Ovis aries: one gene and its partners. The protein of the gene in region 1 interacts with the protein of each later gene in a pairwise test. Links are inferred from orthologs where the notes say so. Each region holds a gene or a part of one and is shown on either strand. Other genes may lie near its edges. The genes, in order: ABHD16A, DTX2, RETREG3 and RNF5.

Region 1 (3,593 bases):
GTGGCAAAGAGTCAGACATGATTGAGCGACTAACACTACAGGGAACCAATAGTGTTTCCTGGTTCAAACCAAGAATATTCTAACAGCTGTCCAATAAGGCAAAGTATGGCTCTGGGAAGATCTGAGTTCTTGGCACCTTGTCCTCAGTCCCTGGCAGGGCCTGTGTTTGTTGAATTGCAAAGAGGTTGTGAGGAGAGAGACTTAAGGTGAGCAACTATATGGTGAGGAGGCTGTGCAGGGGTTGCTGCATCCAACATGGGGAACAAGCCATTCCTTACTCCCCATGGAAAGAGCAAGAACTAAGCAAGAAAAACTGGAGGTTCTGATGCTGGAACCATGCAGGCTGGACCTAGAAATCGGTAGAATTGCTGCGTAAGTGTAAGTCAGGTGCTAGGAAGTACTTTGTAAACAACAGAGCTCATGAACTATGAGCACTGGAGGCAACCGTGGTCTCCTGGGGTGGTTGTATGTAGGAAGACCTAGGCAGGCACCAGGGACGCTGCACAGTGGTGATGGTACTAGGCATGCCAGGGAAAGGTGAGAGTGGGAGACCCACTGGACAAGGACAACTCAGGTTGGGGGCTGATTGCCTGGGGCAACAGCAGAGATGGTGAGGGTTAAATTGGCTGCCTGAAGTGGGGTCTCTCAAAGCCCAGTCATTTGGAGCTTCAACTCTTCTCCACTCCCAACCCTGGCTTCCTGGATAGCTGGGAAGTCACAAAATTAGCCAGCCGGTAGAAAAAATACTTTTATTAATTATTAGGAATAATTCATTCATTTAATGCAGGGTGTGTGTTGGGAAGGTTAGGTACTGCCAGATGGATGAGGGGAAACGTGCAAGAGGAACGGTGAGAAGTAGGGGTGGTCCCCCTGCTTGCCAGAAACTATAAACAGCAAAATAAACACAGAGAATCACAAACAGGGTCCTTCCTCATGTCTCCGTCCATCCGTTCTTCCAGAATAAGTCCCAGTGTGGTCCCTAGAGGTGCCACGGCATCTGGAAGTTCTGGGCTGGGAGTGGGGTGCAGTGTGTGGCTTCGAAGTTATTCAGATGCTTCTGAGCCTGAGGGGAGAAGGTGGGACAGGTGGGGTACAGAGCACAGACACCTTCTGAACCAACTACCCACATTAAAGAAGCTGCTCCTTCCATTGCTTACAGGGTACCCCTGTCCCCAAGCCCCACCTGTGCCCCTGGCCATTCAGGCACCCTCTTCCTGCTTCCCACGCCTTAGCTCACCAGAAACAAAGCCAGCTGCCGTCTTCCGTCTGCACTCATGTCCTCCCCTGCAGAGAGAAGGTGCTCAAACGTGGGCTACCCATCTGGGTATTCACCCCCTTCCTGGGCTCTTCCCAACCTCTTCTGCCCCAGCACTCCTTACCCACGCTCCAGGGGAATTCAGGCCCATGTTCTGCCTGGTAGGAGCGGAGGACAGACAGGCACCAGTCCTCCTCCACCTCCCACCGGCTGTAAATCGAGGCTGGTCATAGAGAGAGACATGTGCCCATCAGCATCCTGGTCTTTCCAGACCCCCAACCAAAGCCCTCAGCAGATCCCCTTTCACCTTCCTCCAGCTGTGAGGAGGCCTCCAGCCACTGCCTCACCACTCGAAGACCCTCTTCCGCCATCACCCGGGGATACCTATGGAGGAGCACCGGGACAGGAAGTCAGGACCCAGTCCTCTTCACTCCTCATCCCCGAACCGCCCCCCTCCCTGCACTGGCGTCAGTACAGACATGTATGTGTGCGCGCACACACCCTGGTTCTCACCGATGCTGCAGGAGTTTCAGCAGGAGGTCATTGCCTCGGTTAGACATGATGTCCTCAGGAACCCTGGGGGTAGAAGAATGACACTGGAGGGACTGGAGGGTGGGGAGGAAGGGTCTGGATACTTGGGTTTCTGGCGGGCATTCTTTGGGGTAGGGAACAGCTTCCTGGCTGTCTCTGGGATCCAGGAGGGTAGAAGTTCCCAGGCACTCACGTGGTGGTGATGATCTCATCCCTGGTTCTGCGGATCAGCAGCACAGGGCCCTGGTACCTTCAGAGGACAGCACAGTGGGGAGGGAGACCTCAGAGCAGGGACAGGTGAAACTGACTGCCTCACCCCAGCACTGGCTATATTTTTTTTCAGGCTTTGCTAGGAGATCCCTGCTGTGCCGGGCATGAACCTACTAGCTGCCAGATCATGAGAAGGTCCAGGGTCCCAGGGAAGCTGGGAGGGGTTGGGGGTGGTGGGAGGGTCCCTCCGGGGACACGGGGCAGTGGCTTATGCTTGCGCTTTGGTCCCAGCAGCATCTCTACAAGGGATGAGGTGGGGAGGGTATCGGGTGCTAGACACTGGCCAGCCCTCACCTGCACAGCTGCTCTGCATTGTTTAGATTGAGATGCTGCCTCACAGTCCTGGTCACCAGGCCCCCTAACGTGAGATAAACGTGAGAGGACAGCAGACACGAAGTCCCTGCCCAACACAGAGGTCCCCACTGTCCGTGGAGAGAGAAAATGGAGGTTCCCAGACAGGGGAGTCCCCCTGCTTCTCAACAACGCGGTGGCCTACTCCCCACCCACACAGAGGGGAACCATCTCCAGTGAGAACGTCTCCCAGGTCCAGCCCACCTCTTCCCTCAAGGGCAGGCCTGGGAGCTGCACTCACTCCAGCTGTCTGGCATGACTTTCAAGGCCAAGGGCACCAGGTCATCAAAGGAGGCATCCAGGATCACGGCACTAATGTCTGGGTAGGACATGGCGGCCCACGTAGCTGGTACCAGGAAAGGAAAGGAAGGGTGAGGACCAAGGGGCTCCTGCCCACCCCCACCCCTACCCTCATCCCCCTGACCCTACAGGCCCACCCCATCCTCCCTACTAAGTTAGCCCCAGGTCTCGCCTTAACCCCTCACTTCACTTGGCCAGGGCACTGTCCAAAGAGAACAACCAAGCGCACTGAAGACAATACCAGAGGCAACATTTACTCCTTGATCTCCCCACCCCAGGTTCTACTTTTAATCATCGGGCACAAGGGTGGAAGGAAATGTGAAGTGTACTCAAATATGATAGCTTCTTCCAGACCCACTCAAGAGAGCCCATCTATTCTCTCCTCCACCCTACTCCCCCGGGGGGACACAGAGATGGCCTGAGGGCGCCTACAGTAGCAGGATAGGAAGGAGGTGGGTACCAGTGAAGCCGCCGATGGACCAGGCATAGAGGATGATATCCTGGGGCTGAAAGCCCAGGCGGTGGATGGCAAACTGGACCACCACATCCATGGCGTTGGCCTCATTCTGTGGGAACGGCACCCCCTGCAGGAAGAAGGGCAAAGGGTCAGCACAAAAGACCCCCTGCCCACCACTCCCACCCTCCCAGCATGGACCCTTCCTGTAGCTACACTGCAATAGACAGCGAAGATGGAACTGCAGCTCTGAACAGACAATTCAGAGAGCTATCATCTTACTTAATGGAATAGACTCCTGTCAGTGGCATTAAAATTAAAGAAAGAATAGGGCCAAGAAAGGGGCTGTTCTCTCTAGAAACCAGTCATTTACAACAAGATCCACTATCTCTCCTCCTACTAAACCCCCAGTGTAAGAGGAGGAGGCTTGCA
Region 2 (4,954 bases), on another chromosome or scaffold:
CCCTTCATTCCTCTATGGAGAGCTGGCTGTGTGCATAACTGGCTCATTCCCAGGCTCAAGACTGGTGCCCTCTAAGTCAGCTCCTGGGTGATAAGTCAGCTCTGGGTCCTGGCCTAGAGTACCAGAAACTAGGCCTGCTGCAGGCACTCTTTCTCTTCCTTCACTAGCTTTTGATTAGATTATGTAAAGATATTCAATTAGAGTCCAAGATTTAGAGGACTCTGAACCCCCTGGAACTGTATGTAAAAATATCTGTGTGTATACGTATGAATACATCTGAGCATTTTTCTGGGAACAACTTTCTTTAGGAAGTAAAGGAAGTCTGTGATCCAAAAGATTAGTCATTAGCCTGGTTTAAGCCTCATCACTTTTGACCTGGACTATAGCCTAAGCCTCCAAACTGGTCTCCCCACTCCTTTCTCAATCCTCCACCCACCACAAGGGTACACTTCTAAAGTGCAATGCTGCTTCTCTTTCCCCTGCTTAAATCCTTCCATTGACTCCAGTGGACTAAATTTCTTGCGTGATATTTAGTGTCCTTCATAATCTCACCCAGCCATTTCCCCATATCCTGCCACACCCTAATCCATTTTCTCTGTCCTCACCCCGTCCATGTACCTATTCTCTGCCTTAGCTACACAGAACATTTCATTGCTTTCTGAATGCATCAGGCACTTTCTCATCTCTCATCCTTTGCAAAAGTTTCCCTGTACTCCATTTGACAAACCCATACTCAGGCTTCAAAATCCAATTCTAGTGTAACCTCCTTTGCAATGTCTTCCTGACATCCCCTCTTCCTGCAATTAGGCACCCCTTCTATGCTCTTACTCCTTTATCACATTTATCGCACTAGATTGCAGTTGCGTGTTTAAGTGTTTGTCACCCAAGTAGGTACAAAGCCCTTTTTTTTCTTGGAAGAAAACCTACGACCAACCTAGGCAGCATATTAAAAAGGAAAGACATTACTTTGCCGACAAAGTCGGTCTAGTCAAAGCTATGGTTTTTCCAGTAGTCACGTATGGATGTGAGAATTGGACTATAAACAAAGCTGAGCGCTGAAGAATTGATGCTTTTGAACTGTGGTGTTGGAGACGACTCTTGAGAGTCCCTTGGGCAGCAAGGAGATCAAACTAGTCAATCCTAAAGGAAATCAGTCCTGAATATTCATTGGAGGGACTGATGCTGAAGCTGAAGCTTCAATACTTTGGCCACCTGATGCGAAGAGCTGACTCATTGAAAAGACCCAGATGCTGGGAAAGATTGAAGGCGGGAGGAGAAGGGGGACAGAGGATGAGATGGTTGGATGACATCACTGACTCAATGAACATGAGTCTGAGTAAACTCCGGGAGTTGGTGATGGACAGGGAAGCCTGGCGTGCTGCAGTCCATGGGATCACCAAGAGTCGGACACGACTGAGCAACTGAGCTGAACTGAACAGGTGCACATTGGGCTCGGCCCCGCCCCTGCTGCCCCGCCGGAACTACGTTTCCCAGAAGGCCCAGCGTCTTGGGCATGCGTACTGGAACCCGAGGAAGCTGCGACGCCGAGTTTCACTCAGGCTGCCTCCTCGTTAGAGTGGGAGCTACGGCCGGAGCAGTGCCCAGGCCGAAGTGGAGCTTCAGTCTGAGCGCGGCGGTGTCCTCCAGCCGCCTGCCTCGCTCTCTTCAGTCTCGGTGAGAGGGGCGGCCCGGGCCACCTGCTCGTCGCCTAGGGCTGGGGTCCCGGGGACGCGGGGGAGACCGAGCCGAGCTGGGGCCGGAAGGGGGCGGGCGTGGGCGTGAGGGACGGTTGGGCCGGGCTGGAGAGGCGCTCCGGGCTGAGGTCCCAGGGGGCTTGCGGGGACCGGCCTCCGGGTGGAGGTCCCCGAGGGCGGGAGTTGAGGGGATTGAGAGACGCTCGCAGAGCTTTAGGACCGGTCGGGGTGGGGAGCGGGAACGCCGAAGGGCTGGCGAGGGGAGCGGCGCAGACCCTGAGAGTTTGGCCCGTCGGGAGGAGAGTACCCTTTCCCACAGGATCCGGGAGGCGGCGGCGGGGCCACCGGGCTGCCCTAGTGAGGGTGTGGGTCCTGCTGGGATCTGCTTCCCGGTGGGCGGCTCGCTGGAGCCGGGGGCTGTACTTCTGAGGAGTTCGCTTAACTAACTCCGCTTTCTTCTTCTCAAGTGCGGTCCGCCTTCCAGGAAGTGCCTCTTTTGTGGGAGCCTGGCTCACTTTTGCGGGGTGCCAGTAGCTTACGTTGTGAAGAGGACTTAGACTTCCCTCCCCCTTTGCCCCCGAAACTACCCTTTCTCAAGTCAGCTACTGTCCTCCACACTGGTTCCTCTTCCCTCCCTAAGTGCCAGTAGCAGTGGAAATAGTGTGTGCATAGACGCTTGGTCGCTTAAGAAACTCAAAATATTTCTGCATGCCATGTAGCTCGTCTAGAGTTGTAGAAGGTGGTCTTTCTGGTAATCAGGCTTTACTTAAACCATCAGGGTAACTATAGCTAGGCTTCTTGTTCATTTACTGTGTGACCTTGGCAAACTTTTATGTTCTGTAGTTGATTTCTTGGAGGCTCACAAAGCAAACTGGCTCACAAAATCCTTTCAGGCCTTTCTATGGAAGGGCTTTTTTTTTTTTTCCTTCCCCTAACTAGCCCCTTGATTATTGAGTGGGCAGAGGGAGACTACTGTACCTTCTGCTGTGCCCAGGCTGTTGGAAAATAAATCTGGTGGTTTCCAGTCCCCAGCCACAGCACACAGACCCAACATCTGTGCATTCGTTTTCACTAACTGCTGTTTCCCAATTTAAAACTCGATCGTCTTCTTCCTTGTTGGCAAAGGTGCCTTGGAATTTGTGTCGCTGAGTCAGCAAGCCTTTCAGATTTGCCCAGTTTTTGTTGTTTGCGTTTTCTATCAAGATGGGAATCCACACAAGTCATTCCTCCTAAGGATCTGGTATCTTCATCAAGAAGGCACGGTTTGTGCCAGCTTTCCACAGAGAAAAGGTGAGAGCCACGGGGACTTCACGTCGCTGCCTGTCCAATCTGGTTTTCAGTAGAGAAAGTGTGGACTGGGGAGGGGGAAATTTGAGGTCCCCAAGATGAAAGTGAGCCCTGGGAGTGGATTGTTGATTGCCTCTTGTCTCAGATAAATTCAGGTGGCTTCTTGCCAACAGCTTCTCCTGTTTAACCAGTCTTAGAAGCTACTTTCTGTTTTCACACATGCATTATGAGATGAAGGACACGAGTCAGGATTTCTGCATTGGAAATTTTAATTTCCTTGGTCACTTGAGCCTTTACTGGGTGCTTCCTTTTTGTCAGGCCCCCTGCTCGGTGCTGAGGGTGCAGTGACCAGCCACAAAAACTCTGTCTTCCAGGAGCTCATTGTTTGGTGGGAAAGATAAAGAAACCATAGACAGCGACAAGGTGTTGTTGGTGTGATACATATGGAGGAGTGGGTAATCACAGGGCAGAGCCCCCCCCATCCCACCCCTACCCTTGCGCAGGAGGGAAGGTCCAGAAGGCTTCAAGAACGTGAGAGCCAAAGTGAATTGTGAAGGAGTAGGACCCAGGAAGTAGGGGACGAAGCCAGGCAGAGGAGTCAGTAAATGCAAAGTTGTGAAGAGACCCGGCATGTCTGGGTCATTGTAAGTGTGACTCCAGTGTGGCTGGGGCAACGGGATGGCTACATGGCCTAGAAGCCTGGAAAGGTGGGCAGAAGGTTGAGTGTGGGGGCTTTTGCCTGTCATGCCAAGACTTGGGGGATTTTAGCAGGAGAATTCCAGGAAGGGCCTTGCTAAATGAGCACCCTGGCTAGAAAGCATGGAATGGATTGGATTGGATCGTTCTCCTTGTGACTGTTTCCTTACATCACCCCAGCTTCTAGTAGAGGGAGGTAGACAGGGAAGTTTGTGCTCTGGCTGTTCCTGGGCTTGTCAGAGAGAGAGAACGGCCGGAGAGAACTGTGGACGACAGATGCAATGCTGTAGAAGTTGATGAGAGGGGATTTTCTCACAAGAGGGCACAGCACGGCATCCTGGAGGTGTTTAACTGGGTGGCCAAGTGGGTAGGGTGCCGGGTAAAGTTGAAGCAGAGTTGGGGAAACTGGATGTATATGGGGTAGTGGGTCGTTACTTAAACTTTCTGGAAGGAGCTGGGGAGGGGGAAGTGTAGATGGAAGAGGGGGTACTGGAGGGAGGTGTGCCAGCAGATAGTGTTGACAGTGAGGGACTGGGCTGATGGACTTTCCCCGTGAGCCACGGAATGTGAACGTTGTTTCTAGACCTTGAAGGGAGGTGTGGAAGAGAGGGGCAGGACTGTACTTCAGGAAGCTCCGCCTCGCCCCTGTCTCTGAGGTGGTTGAGAAGGAGAGACAAGTGTGAGAAGCCAGATGAGAGCGAGTGCTCATCAAGGTGAGAGGCTGACAGGTCCGAGCCAAGTGCTCACAGTGCGGGCTGAGGAGGCAAGAGCAAGCCAGGGCAGCTGCTGGGCTGTGGGGAGAAGCTGGAGGAGGGGCAGCCCAGAGCCAAGGAATCCGGGAGGAAAGAGAGAGAAGCAAGGAAGGTGAGTTTGGCTTCAGACATATTGGAGGTACCTAAGAGACAGCAGGAATGGAGCCACGGATGAAGCGTCTCTCATTCATTCCACGTGTGCCCAGGAAGTTGTGTGCCAGGGTTTGTGCTCAGCACCCGGAGATGAATTAAACAGTCACCTCTGTGGGTTTGTTTTAATATTCACCTCAGATAAACAGAGAACTGGATTGCTCCACACTGATCACCCATTCACACATGGCCTACTTTTATTTATTTCCTAAGTTTCTTTTTAATGAGTGTTGTAAGTTCCTGCATTTCATCCATCCACAACAAAAGCTGGGATCTTGAGACAGAATACATATCCAGTGTTTGATCTTTCTTCCCATTCCCATCCTGAGATATCCATTATCCCTTTGCTTTCATTTTTATCTAGTTTTATGGTAC
Region 3 (4,319 bases), on another chromosome or scaffold:
AGACGTGGAAGAGGGTGTGCTCGTCACCAGACTCAAACTGAGATCTACATACAAAGTCCCAATATAATACTAGCTTCTCTCCTCACTGCACTTGGGAGCAGGAAGGTCCTTGGAGAAAGGCAAGAAGCTGGGTCCTTAGAGAGCCCACAGTGAGCCTGGAAACCTGTTTACTGTCTAAACAGGAGTACCAGATGGTAAAAAAGGAGCTAAAAAGACTGGCCAGTGAGGCAGCTCCCACACCCCAGATACCTGAGGACAGAAGGCTGCAAGCTCCTCCTCGCTGTCACTGTGGTTGTCTGCAGCACGCTCTGGGTGGAGAGCTCTGCGACGCACTGTGTAGGAAGAGCAGAAGCCATGAACACCTTCCCTTGAGGGCAAACTCCCGCCCCCTTTGAATTTCAAAGGCATTAAAGTCAGAATACCAGAGAATGAACCCCTTAAACCTACAGAACGATGTCTGAGGAAGGAGCTGCCTAAGTGGCAAGGTAAGCTGATAACATGATAACACAGGAAAGAAACCCTTTTTGTTCTGGAGAGGTCAACTACCAGACTTGTCAACAAGCCTCAAGATCAGATATCAGTGTGAAAAGTGGACACTATCACAGAGAAGGCGAAGGGAGACACCCCACCTGGCTGAGTCAGGCTTTGAGGAGTGGTGCTGTTCAGCTGGCTGCGCCGGGCAGAGCCGGGCCTTGGCGCTCGTGTGCAGGGCTCTTAGAAGGCCAGGGCTTAATGCAGACCCAGCCTGACCGCACCACGGAAGAGAGGGAAAAGTCCGCTTGCCTGTTGCTTGTGGGTTGGAGGATCTCAGGCTAGTACACACCAGGCTTCAGAAGCCAGTTTTCAATCGCTTTGGGAAGGCAGCTTTCAGGAGTGAACAGAGGCCCAGCTGAGGAGTTTAAAAGACCTATTCTGCCCTTTACTAACCGTGAGCTTTAGTTTCCTCAACCAGAAAAGGAAAATACCACCCTCTTTTTAAGGGTGTTGTACAGACAACGTATGCAAAGCAGCCAGCTCAGTGCTTGGGCACATGGGACGTGCTTCATAAAAAGCAGCTAACACTGGGAATATCTTCACTGTCTTTTATATGACTTGGGAGAACTTTTCTCATATTTGTTTAAAATGGGAGTGTCTATAATTCCAAAGGGAAAAACTGGCAAGCCTGCAGAGATTTCCCTAGAGTAGATCATCACTTTTACCTACCACCCCCCTATACAGCAATCACATCCCACTTCTCCACGTTCAAGGACCTATGATGCCAAACCTCTGGGCTTCTCCTTCTCCCCAAACTGCCCAAATGGACGGGAGGTTCCCCTGGACACTTACATTGTCTCTCTCTCTGCTTGGACATCATGTAGCCACGAACGCTGAAGTCCAGCCGCTGCAGTGCGGGCTTCAGCCGCACATACACTCGGTCCCACAGCCGGTGGTACACAGCGAGGGGCCACATCATGACAGTGACAACTGAGAGGAGTGAGAAAGAGTGGTGAAATGGAGGAAGGGCTGCATACAGTCCTGACTGTCCCTCTGCCGTGTGTCCTTAGGGCTGGGACCCAGTGTGGAACGGTCCTGCCTAATTCTGCAGGTCATCTTCACGAGGTGAAGATCTGGGGTCAGAGACTTCTGTAGCCCCAACAGCGCCGTGCACAGTGGACTATGCTGCTGATGCATCAAGGGCAGAATCAGTGCTGTCACCTGCATATGGGTGTCACCGAGCATCAACAAGACCAGATGCTAACGACGCCTCGGCAGCCACACAACGTCATTCGAGCTTCTGCTATTTAATCACCAGGGTCATCACTGCTCAGTTCTTCCAGCCTCAGGTAGACAGAGTTCATGCCAATATGAAGTTAACTACATTTACAAAACTGCTCTGGGGGGGTGGGGGTGGGGGGGGGGAAGTGCTCCAGGTAAACAGAACCTAGTAACCTACAGAGTAAACAGAATCTAGAACAGAATCCTAAGAGTTATGTCCTACTGTTACACAATACACTGACTCTAAAAATTCCCTCCTGAAATAGGGACAGACAGTCCTTTCTTTATAACTGGTTAGTGGACCCTTGTCAGTTTCTAAAACTTGGTAAGAAAAGGAATTTATATGTGGGAGCTTGACACAGGTAAGAAGAAAGGTATTTTCATGACTCTAAACAGGACATGAAAATGAAAAAGGTCATTTCCTGGAGAACAAAAATATAAAAGTTCTCTCTCTAGACAAAGTTAGCTACAGCTAGAAAAGCTATGAGTATGTTAAGCTTGTGGGGGAGGTATATACCATACTTACGAATTAAGTAGGAGAGCAGGAGCCCAGGGATGTAGCGGCCCAAGACAGCCAAAAAGGTCAGTATCCCACAGCTCAGCAAGCAGAACTAGGGATGTCAGGAAACAATATTAAGTTTCTGCCATATGGCAGGGGATGGGGTGGGGATGTGGGGCAGGTAAGATGGAGATGTGATTGAAATGATTTTTTATGACCTCTGAATAAAGCATGGACATGTCAGAATGACATGTACCTAGCCACTGCTGCTGCTGGTGATTCTGCTGGGGAGGAAAGGGAGCATGTCCACTTCTATTCAAACTCTTCTCACATGGCTAACCCCACAGGGCTGCACCTTTCGTGCTGGGAAATGGTTTGAATAGGACTGAGCCAAAAATTCTCTCTGAAAACAAGTGCTGGTGGTGGGCTTTTTTTAAGGCAAAGTAAAATAAAATGAAAAAACTCAACCACTTACCACATGTTTAATATGACACAGAATGCACACAAGCAAGCTTTCTTTCCCATCTTGGGGCAGGAAGATGGCCTAATCTAAGTGGCAAGCACCTGAAGGAGTCACCGAGTTCTTGCCTTAGTCCTAGTGGCTGGTCAGAAGCCCCTTCCTATGACTTCCCTTGTCTCTACCAGCACCATGGTCTTTTCGTTCTTGAATGAGGATAGGTAGTAAAAGGTAAAAGGGCTGTTTCAGTTTAGCATGAACTGAACTGAGAAGCCAGAAATAAGAGTGAAAAAGGGAAGAGTCTTACCTTGCCTGGGTTTTGCTTTTTGAAAAGCAAAAGATTCCTTATGAAAATGGTCCCACTAACCCAGACTTCAGCTACGTGGTGGCAGAGCTCGGGCACGCTGAGCAACCGAGGGTGCACAAAACCCCAGCTATGGGAAAGAGAAGGGGGAGCTGTGAAAGGAGGGTGCTGAGGGTTCCCCCCCATCTCACTGTGAAGGCAGCCGATGGTTCCGGGTTTAAATAGGGGCTGGGGAGTGGCTAGCCCGAGGTGCTCTAGAGGTGAAGCACGACTTTCTTCTTGGCTCTCCAGGTTGAAACTTGAATTTAAGGACTAGGAGGGCAAACTTGTTCTGACACCTCCACCCTGAGCCAGCAGCCCAATCCACATGTGTAAACCTGCCACCAGCTCCTAGGCCCTTTGTGCTTAAAAGCATCTTTCCTGTGCTCAGACTATTGCAATTCACTGTGATTGCAATCCAGGAGAAAACGTAAAGCACAGTCTGACAGCACTGCGGCAGGTGAGGTGGAGCCAATGGATGTGCCCCTTAGAGAGAAAACAAATAAAACAAAACCAAAACAAACCCAGCAGAGACAATCCAACATATGACATGAATGAACTGAAAAATGAAAGCAGGAGCTGTAAGCCACAAGAGGGATCTTTGGCTTGCTGATGCCAGAAACGAATGTGTTTTCTGACCAGGAACTTTAAACGGCCAAAGTTCACAGAAAACACTAAATGGCCTGGTTTTTATAAAAGCCAGAGACAAATGAGGTAAGTTGCCTCTAAGTTTTTACACAGGCTGCATAATTTCTTGGTACGTCAGCACGCTAATGCTGCTTTCTCAGAAATGTCTCTTACAAGTACCACAGGACACTGAGCATCTCAACCTACTGCTGCCTGAACTTTAGGATTTGTTAAAATGATTATTTGCAACAGACTAGGTTCTCAGCTTCTAATGTGTATCCAAAACATGGAGTTAACAACCTGTAACCAGAATATTACAACAAGAGAATCAATCAGAGCAACAAAAAGGGATTTAATTAGCATTCCATACCTCTCATTGTCTAACGCGTCGGGTCTTGGCACTACAATATTAAAACAAACACCAGCATTAGTTGGTAGGGAAAACAAAACATGAAAATGTTAGGCTGTTGGTCTGATAGCTCAAGTTTTAATAGGTTTGGAGAAAAGGAAAAACAGTAACAGCCAATAAAAAGGAGACACCATGTTACAGCGCCAGTTAGGGAGCTACAGACAAGGAAGTGAGGGCGATGCCCGCTCATTTCTCCGGCAGGATGGGGTGGGAGCGCAAACGGCGCATT
Region 4 (5,102 bases), about 410 kb from region 1:
CTATCCCCCGCCACCCCTCCCCACGCCCGCTGATTTCCGGGGCTGGCCAGGAAGTAGGGGGCGGTGATGGGCGCCCTGTTTTGCCAATCGCCTCCCCACATCGTTCAGTTTTTGCCTAGCTCCGCCCCACGAGGGCTCAGCTGGTCTTTGCTTAGGTCTCTCTGGCCTTCTCTGATTCCAGCTGCATCTTTTTTCCTCCAACTTCCTTTCGGCACACATGGCTTGTGTGTCCCTTGCTGGTGTATTCCTTCTCATTCTCCATCAGTTCTCCTCATATTGTCAATTGGCTTCTTTTTTTTCTCAACTCCCACATCTGCTGCTTATTCCATCCAACTCCAACCCTTTTCCAGCTCCCTCCTCCTGTTCCCCATTCAAATTCAAATATTTATCAAGCACCTACTATATGCCAAGCACTGGGTTCTTCACGTCTCTTCTTTTTCTCTCCAGGGCTCGATGGAGACGAGATGTCACCCCACCTCACCTTCCAACCCTCATCTGATCTCTGCCCTTTGTCCCTGCCACTATCTCCTAGCAGTCCAGCTCCCTCCTCCACTGCCCGCCCCCCATCCTGGTCTTTGGGGAGAAGGGACACTCTCAGGCCCTTGTCCCTGTAGGCTGTACCTTACTTTCTTCCTTCGTATAGTCTCCTTACTCACCCACGCTGAGACTACCCGTCTCTGCAATATAGAAAAGATGTATGCTTTTTTCCCAATGGAAATTGGACATTAGGCTTAATTTCTTGAAAAAGTGAGGAAGAATGCTGTTTCCTCTGGGATGAGCATGCCTCCTTAATTTTGTAGTCATGTACCTAGCTCTCTCTCCACCATACTCCCATCATCCCCTTGTCAGGATCATCCCATCACTCTCCACTCCTATTGGGTCTCCTCTTCTCCCTCTCAATGACCTTTTCCCTAAACCTCTACACGTCGCCTGAACCTTAACCTCCTCTGCCATAGGCGACTCCTAATTTCTCATCTTTCCTCACTTGAGTCACGTGGGGCCTTTTTATCAGGATGTTGTTGAAGAACCCTCAGCTTGTGTCTGGCCTCCAGCCCCCAGTCACCTTTGCCCTGAAAAGGATGTAAAGAACACCGGTAACTCCAGGACTGTTACCTAGTTCTGCTCCTTGGGCTTCAGTGAGGGCCACTGACTGTAGAAGAGGCCCAAACTTGTGCGAAAGGCCCACGCTCTGAAGCAGCCTGCCTAAGTCCCAGGGGTCCAGCCCAGGAGGAAGACCCCAGTTCTGCCGGGCACAGGAGAAAGAAGGGGCGGGTCGCCTAAAAGGGGGCGGGCCTTGCCTCTTGCACCCACTCACAAAGGGAGGGGGGCTAGGCCTTTTCTGCTTTTAAGATTTAAAACGGAGTCGAGGTCAACTCGTTCTACTATGTGCCACGTTAAAAAGGGGATGGGTCTTCAGTTCAGTTCTGCTCTGTAAATCACCTAAAGAGGGGCGGGCTGAGTCGTCCAGCCGAGGGAGATGGGTTAACACCAGCGCTGCAGATCGACGTTCGCACCATCCAAACGTCGGGCTAATCCTAGTCCTGCTCCCTTCTTCACTAAGAGGGAGGGGCGGACCCAAGTTCTGCTCTCTACGTCACCGAAGGAGGCCGAAGCCATTTTGAACCCTGCGACCCTAGTATTTGTCCTCTTTTCCGAGCTCGTCGCCGTCTTTCCCGATCTCGGCCAATCAGGAGCGAAAAAAGGGGTCCAATCAGTCGAGAGAGACCTCAGTCGGAGGACCCGGATGAGGACGAGCCGAGGCCTTTGAACCCCAAACCCCGCCAATTGTGGAGCAGTCACCATGGCGACAGTATAGAGGTGAAGGGGTGGGACCAGAGAAGGCTCAATCCTCATAGGATTGGCCCACCCCGTCCCTGCCTGATGCGCTCGCGCACTTTACCTAGCTACCATTTTCTGTCGAGGTGTAGCCAATCAGTTGCTTCGGAGCCAAACGCTCCAAAGTCCAATAGGAATCTGGATATTCTCTGAAAGAGGAAGTAAAAGAAAGACTGGGTCTTGTAGTGGGCGAGGTCTAAGCAGTCTTGAGCCAATTGCTTCTGGCCTTTGGTTATGACTGGCAGTTACTCAGACGAATAAAGCCCGCCCTAGCTGGGTGACAGGACGTATGGAGTTGTTACCAATCCCGTGGCATTGCCGACTAACTGTGACTGTGTCAGCCAATAGTCATTGTACAAGGGCGGAGCCACGTGATCATCTTTCCGCCCCCGCCTTTTGGACCAATCCTTCCTTCCGATTCTGTATGATTGGCAGGCACTCAGGCCAATAGTGATTAGAAAACTTTGAAGCCTGCCCAAAGACCGTGGGCCGGAGGAGGTTTCTCGTTTCTCGGGGCGTCTGTATGTGTGTTTCGGGGGACTAAGGGGTACGCGGGGGACGAAAGAGTACCGGCCATGGCAGCAGCGGAGGAGGAGGACGGGGGCCCCGAAGGGCCAAACCGCGAGCGGGGCGGGGCGGGCGCGACCTTCGAATGTAATATATGTTTGGAGACTGCTCGGGAAGCTGTGGTCAGTGTGTGTGGCCACCTGTACTGGTGAGAATCTGAGAGGGGCAAAAATAACTGGGGCTCACATCTATACTGGGGAGGTTGGGGTGGGGGTGCCACAGTCATACGGGCAACCAGAGGGCACATTTTCATAGGTGAGGCCTGAGGGGGCTTCTTGCGTCTTTTTGGGTATGTGTGGGTGAGAGGGTCACGTCTGTATAGAGGAGACCCGTGGAAAGTCGTAGGAACTAGGCTCCAACTAGTATGTTAAGAAATGGGGCGCAGGAGGTGGGTACCGCACATCTGTGCAGGTGAGACCCGAGCCACCTTAACCTCTGGAAATTGAGGGGTCTTACTTAGCTGTACATTGGAGGAGGAAATGGCAACCGACTCCGGTATTCTTGCCTGGAGAATCCATCCCAGGGACAGGGGAGCCTAGTGGGCTGCCATCTATGGGGTCGCACAGAGTCGGACACGACTGAAGCGACGCAGCAGCAGCAGCTGTACAGTTGGGAACGGATTAGACTGCAAGGTTAGGGGAGATCTAGAGAACGAGGGATCACATTCAGGTGAGCTGTGTCAAGGGGTGGTATGAGAAACCTCCGGACAAGAGCACGGTGGAGTAGCAGCCCCCAAAGATTAAGGAATTGTGGAAGTAAGGTCTTTATTGAGCATAGGAGATAGGAAAAGGAGTAATGGGAGAAGGTAGGTGCTGGTAAAGGGGGTTTGGTTGGGGAGTGATGGCGGCAAGAATGAGAGGAGGGCTGAAAGGAGCCTGCAAAGGGGTGGTTGAAGAAAACTGGAAATTAAATTGAAAAGCAGAGAAGGAAGGGGTGAGGATTTGTATATGTATGGGGTGTGGGGATTGCGGTAGGGAAGAGGAGAGAGGTGAGGGTTGAGCCTGTTGAGAATAGATGTAGCTTTGGAAGGTTAGAGAAGCAGGATGGCCAAATTGGCTGGCATGGTAGGAGTTGTGGAAAATATGAAAAGAAACAGCAGGTAATACCTGGTAACAGCGAGGTGGGACTCTGAGGTTGGGTAGGTATCTCTTTTGTGTTTGGTTTCAACTGGTTTGACCTTTGTTTTCCCCCTTGCAGTTGGCCCTGTCTTCATCAGGTGCGTACTCAGAGGAGATGAAGAGGGAAATGGGGAGGTCTGAGGAGCTGGAAGAACCCTTCTGTGTACTGGAAACCACATTTTTTTCCCCCAGTGGTTGGAGACACGGCCAGAGAGGCAAGAGTGCCCAGTGTGCAAAGCTGGGATCAGCAGAGAAAACGTTGTCCCTCTCTATGGGCGAGGGAGCCAGAAGCCCCAGGATCCCAGGTAAGAGAGGGGAGGTGGTACTGAAAGAAAGTGGACACTTCTTTCTGGGGAGTGGGGTGTAGAAGAGGAGGGAATATTGATAGTCCCTCTCCTCTTCCTCAGATTGAAAACCCCACCCCGCCCACAGGGCCAGCGACCCGCTCCAGAGAGCAGAGGGGTGAGTCTTGTCTGATTTGTGTTCCTTCCTTGCCAAAGACTCGCCCAGTTTCCCACTGACCTTCTCCGCCTCCCTAGGGATTCCAGCCATTTGGTGATACTGGGGGCTTTCACTTCTCATTTGGTGTCGGTGCTTTTCCCTTTGGCTTTTTCACCACCGTCTTCAATACCCATGAACCGTTCCGTCGGGGTACAGGTAAGAGTCTGCCCTCAACTGCTACCAGCAAGTCCTCTGAATCCCCTGGCCTATGAGTGGATGCTTCTTTCACAGCTCTCTTCTCTCCCACAGGTGTGGATCTGGGACAGGGTCACCCGGCCTCCAGCTGGCAGGACTCCCTCTTCCTGTTTCTCGCCATCTTCTTCTTTTTCTGGCTGCTCAGTATTTGAGCCATGTCTCCTTCCTGCCCACCACCAGCCAGAGGAGAATCAGTATTGGGGGTCCCTGCTGACCCTTCCTTACTCCTGGACCCTCCCCACCCAAGCCCTTCATTTCTGTTGGCTAAGGCCAACCCTGGCCACTTTCCACAAGGATGTGTGGAGAAGGAGTGACATCTGTGCATAGGATAGGAGAACCTGTGCTCTGGACTGCTCCCTCAGTAGCGTCATAACTCCCAGCTCTGGGAGAGGAGGATGGACTAAAGACAGTGTCTGTCTCTCGTCTCTCCCGATCCTTTGCTTTCCACCATATTTCTTGATTTGATGTTGAAAGGTGGGCAAGGCTCCCTCTGACTCTTCTCCCATGTTCCCCTTGATTTAATTTAATTTTTCTCTCCCCAGTGTCTAATGTGGGTCCTGACTCTCAAGTGCTTCCCTCCCCTCACTACCTCCTTTATGATAAATTCAATAAACATGATGAGATGTATTCACTCTGCCTACGTTTGTCCGTCCCTCCTTCCTTTCAAGACAGGAGCATCTTCTCCCCAACTTGAGCAGATATTGGTGTGGTGTGGGGAAGCATGGGGGAGAGGGCATCACACAACACACACAGCAAATGTGGCAGGTGTTTACTCATCACTTTCTGTGGGAGGCTCTGGTTGTGGAAGAAAGCTGGCGGGAGGTGGGCTGAAGATTATACAGAGGAGAACTGGGCTGGGGCCGGAACAGACTGGGAAAAGAAAAG

Evidence for each region.
Region 2: the proteins of ABHD16A (region 1) and DTX2 interact in binary tests that used the Homo sapiens proteins (3 or more experiments, as listed by UniProt). The two-hybrid records come from large-scale screens. The link is inferred for Ovis aries from reciprocal best matches to the Homo sapiens genes ABHD16A and DTX2.
Region 3: the proteins of ABHD16A (region 1) and RETREG3 interact in binary tests that used the Homo sapiens proteins (3 or more experiments, as listed by UniProt). The link is inferred for Ovis aries from reciprocal best matches to the Homo sapiens genes ABHD16A and RETREG3.
Region 4: the proteins of ABHD16A (region 1) and RNF5 interact in binary tests that used the Homo sapiens proteins (3 or more experiments, as listed by UniProt). The link is inferred for Ovis aries from reciprocal best matches to the Homo sapiens genes ABHD16A and RNF5.

Annotation. Positions count from the first base shown.
Region 1 is NC_056073.1:26,697,644-26,701,236, reverse strand, and holds the end of ABHD16A (phosphatidylserine lipase ABHD16A), read right to left. Parts: exon of another isoform or gene 3,292-3,593; coding exon 3,168-3,291; exon of another isoform or gene 2,754-3,167; coding exon 2,649-2,753; exon of another isoform or gene 2,415-2,648; coding exon 2,351-2,414; exon of another isoform or gene 2,130-2,350; intron 2,037-2,129; coding exon 1,980-2,036; intron 1,832-1,979; coding exon 1,769-1,831; intron 1,737-1,768; exon of another isoform or gene 1,640-1,736; coding exon 1,563-1,639; intron 1,479-1,562; coding exon 1,380-1,478; intron 1,285-1,379; coding exon 1,238-1,284; intron 1,064-1,237; coding exon 980-1,063; 3' UTR 736-979; downstream 1-735. UniProt on the Homo sapiens protein: Phosphatidylserine (PS) lipase that mediates the hydrolysis of phosphatidylserine to generate lysophosphatidylserine (LPS). LPS constitutes a class of signaling lipids that regulates immunological and neurological processes.
Region 2 is NC_056077.1:34,902,107-34,907,060, forward strand, and holds the start of DTX2 (probable E3 ubiquitin-protein ligase DTX2), read left to right. Parts: upstream 1-1,546; 5' UTR 1,547-1,674; intron 1,675-1,778; exon of another isoform or gene 1,779-2,984; intron 2,985-4,954. UniProt on the Homo sapiens protein: Regulator of Notch signaling, a signaling pathway involved in cell-cell communications that regulates a broad spectrum of cell-fate determinations.
Region 3 is NC_056064.1:42,393,984-42,398,302, forward strand, and holds part of RETREG3 (reticulophagy regulator 3), read right to left. Parts: intron 4,083-4,319; coding exon 4,052-4,082; intron 3,146-4,051; coding exon 3,019-3,145; exon of another isoform or gene 2,730-3,018; intron 2,367-2,729; coding exon 2,282-2,366; intron 1,465-2,281; coding exon 1,327-1,464; intron 333-1,326; coding exon 250-332; intron 1-249. UniProt on the Homo sapiens protein: Endoplasmic reticulum (ER)-anchored autophagy regulator which exists in an inactive state under basal conditions but is activated following cellular stress.
Region 4 is NC_056073.1:26,283,894-26,288,995, reverse strand, and holds RNF5 (E3 ubiquitin-protein ligase RNF5), read left to right. Parts: upstream 1-2,302; 5' UTR 2,303-2,411; coding exon 2,412-2,551; intron 2,552-3,600; coding exon 3,601-3,619; intron 3,620-3,713; coding exon 3,714-3,826; intron 3,827-3,928; coding exon 3,929-3,983; intron 3,984-4,060; coding exon 4,061-4,178; intron 4,179-4,271; coding exon 4,272-4,369; 3' UTR 4,370-4,853; downstream 4,854-5,102. UniProt on the Homo sapiens protein: Membrane-bound E3 ubiquitin-protein ligase that mediates ubiquitination of target proteins. May function together with E2 ubiquitin-conjugating enzymes UBE2D1/UBCH5A and UBE2D2/UBC4.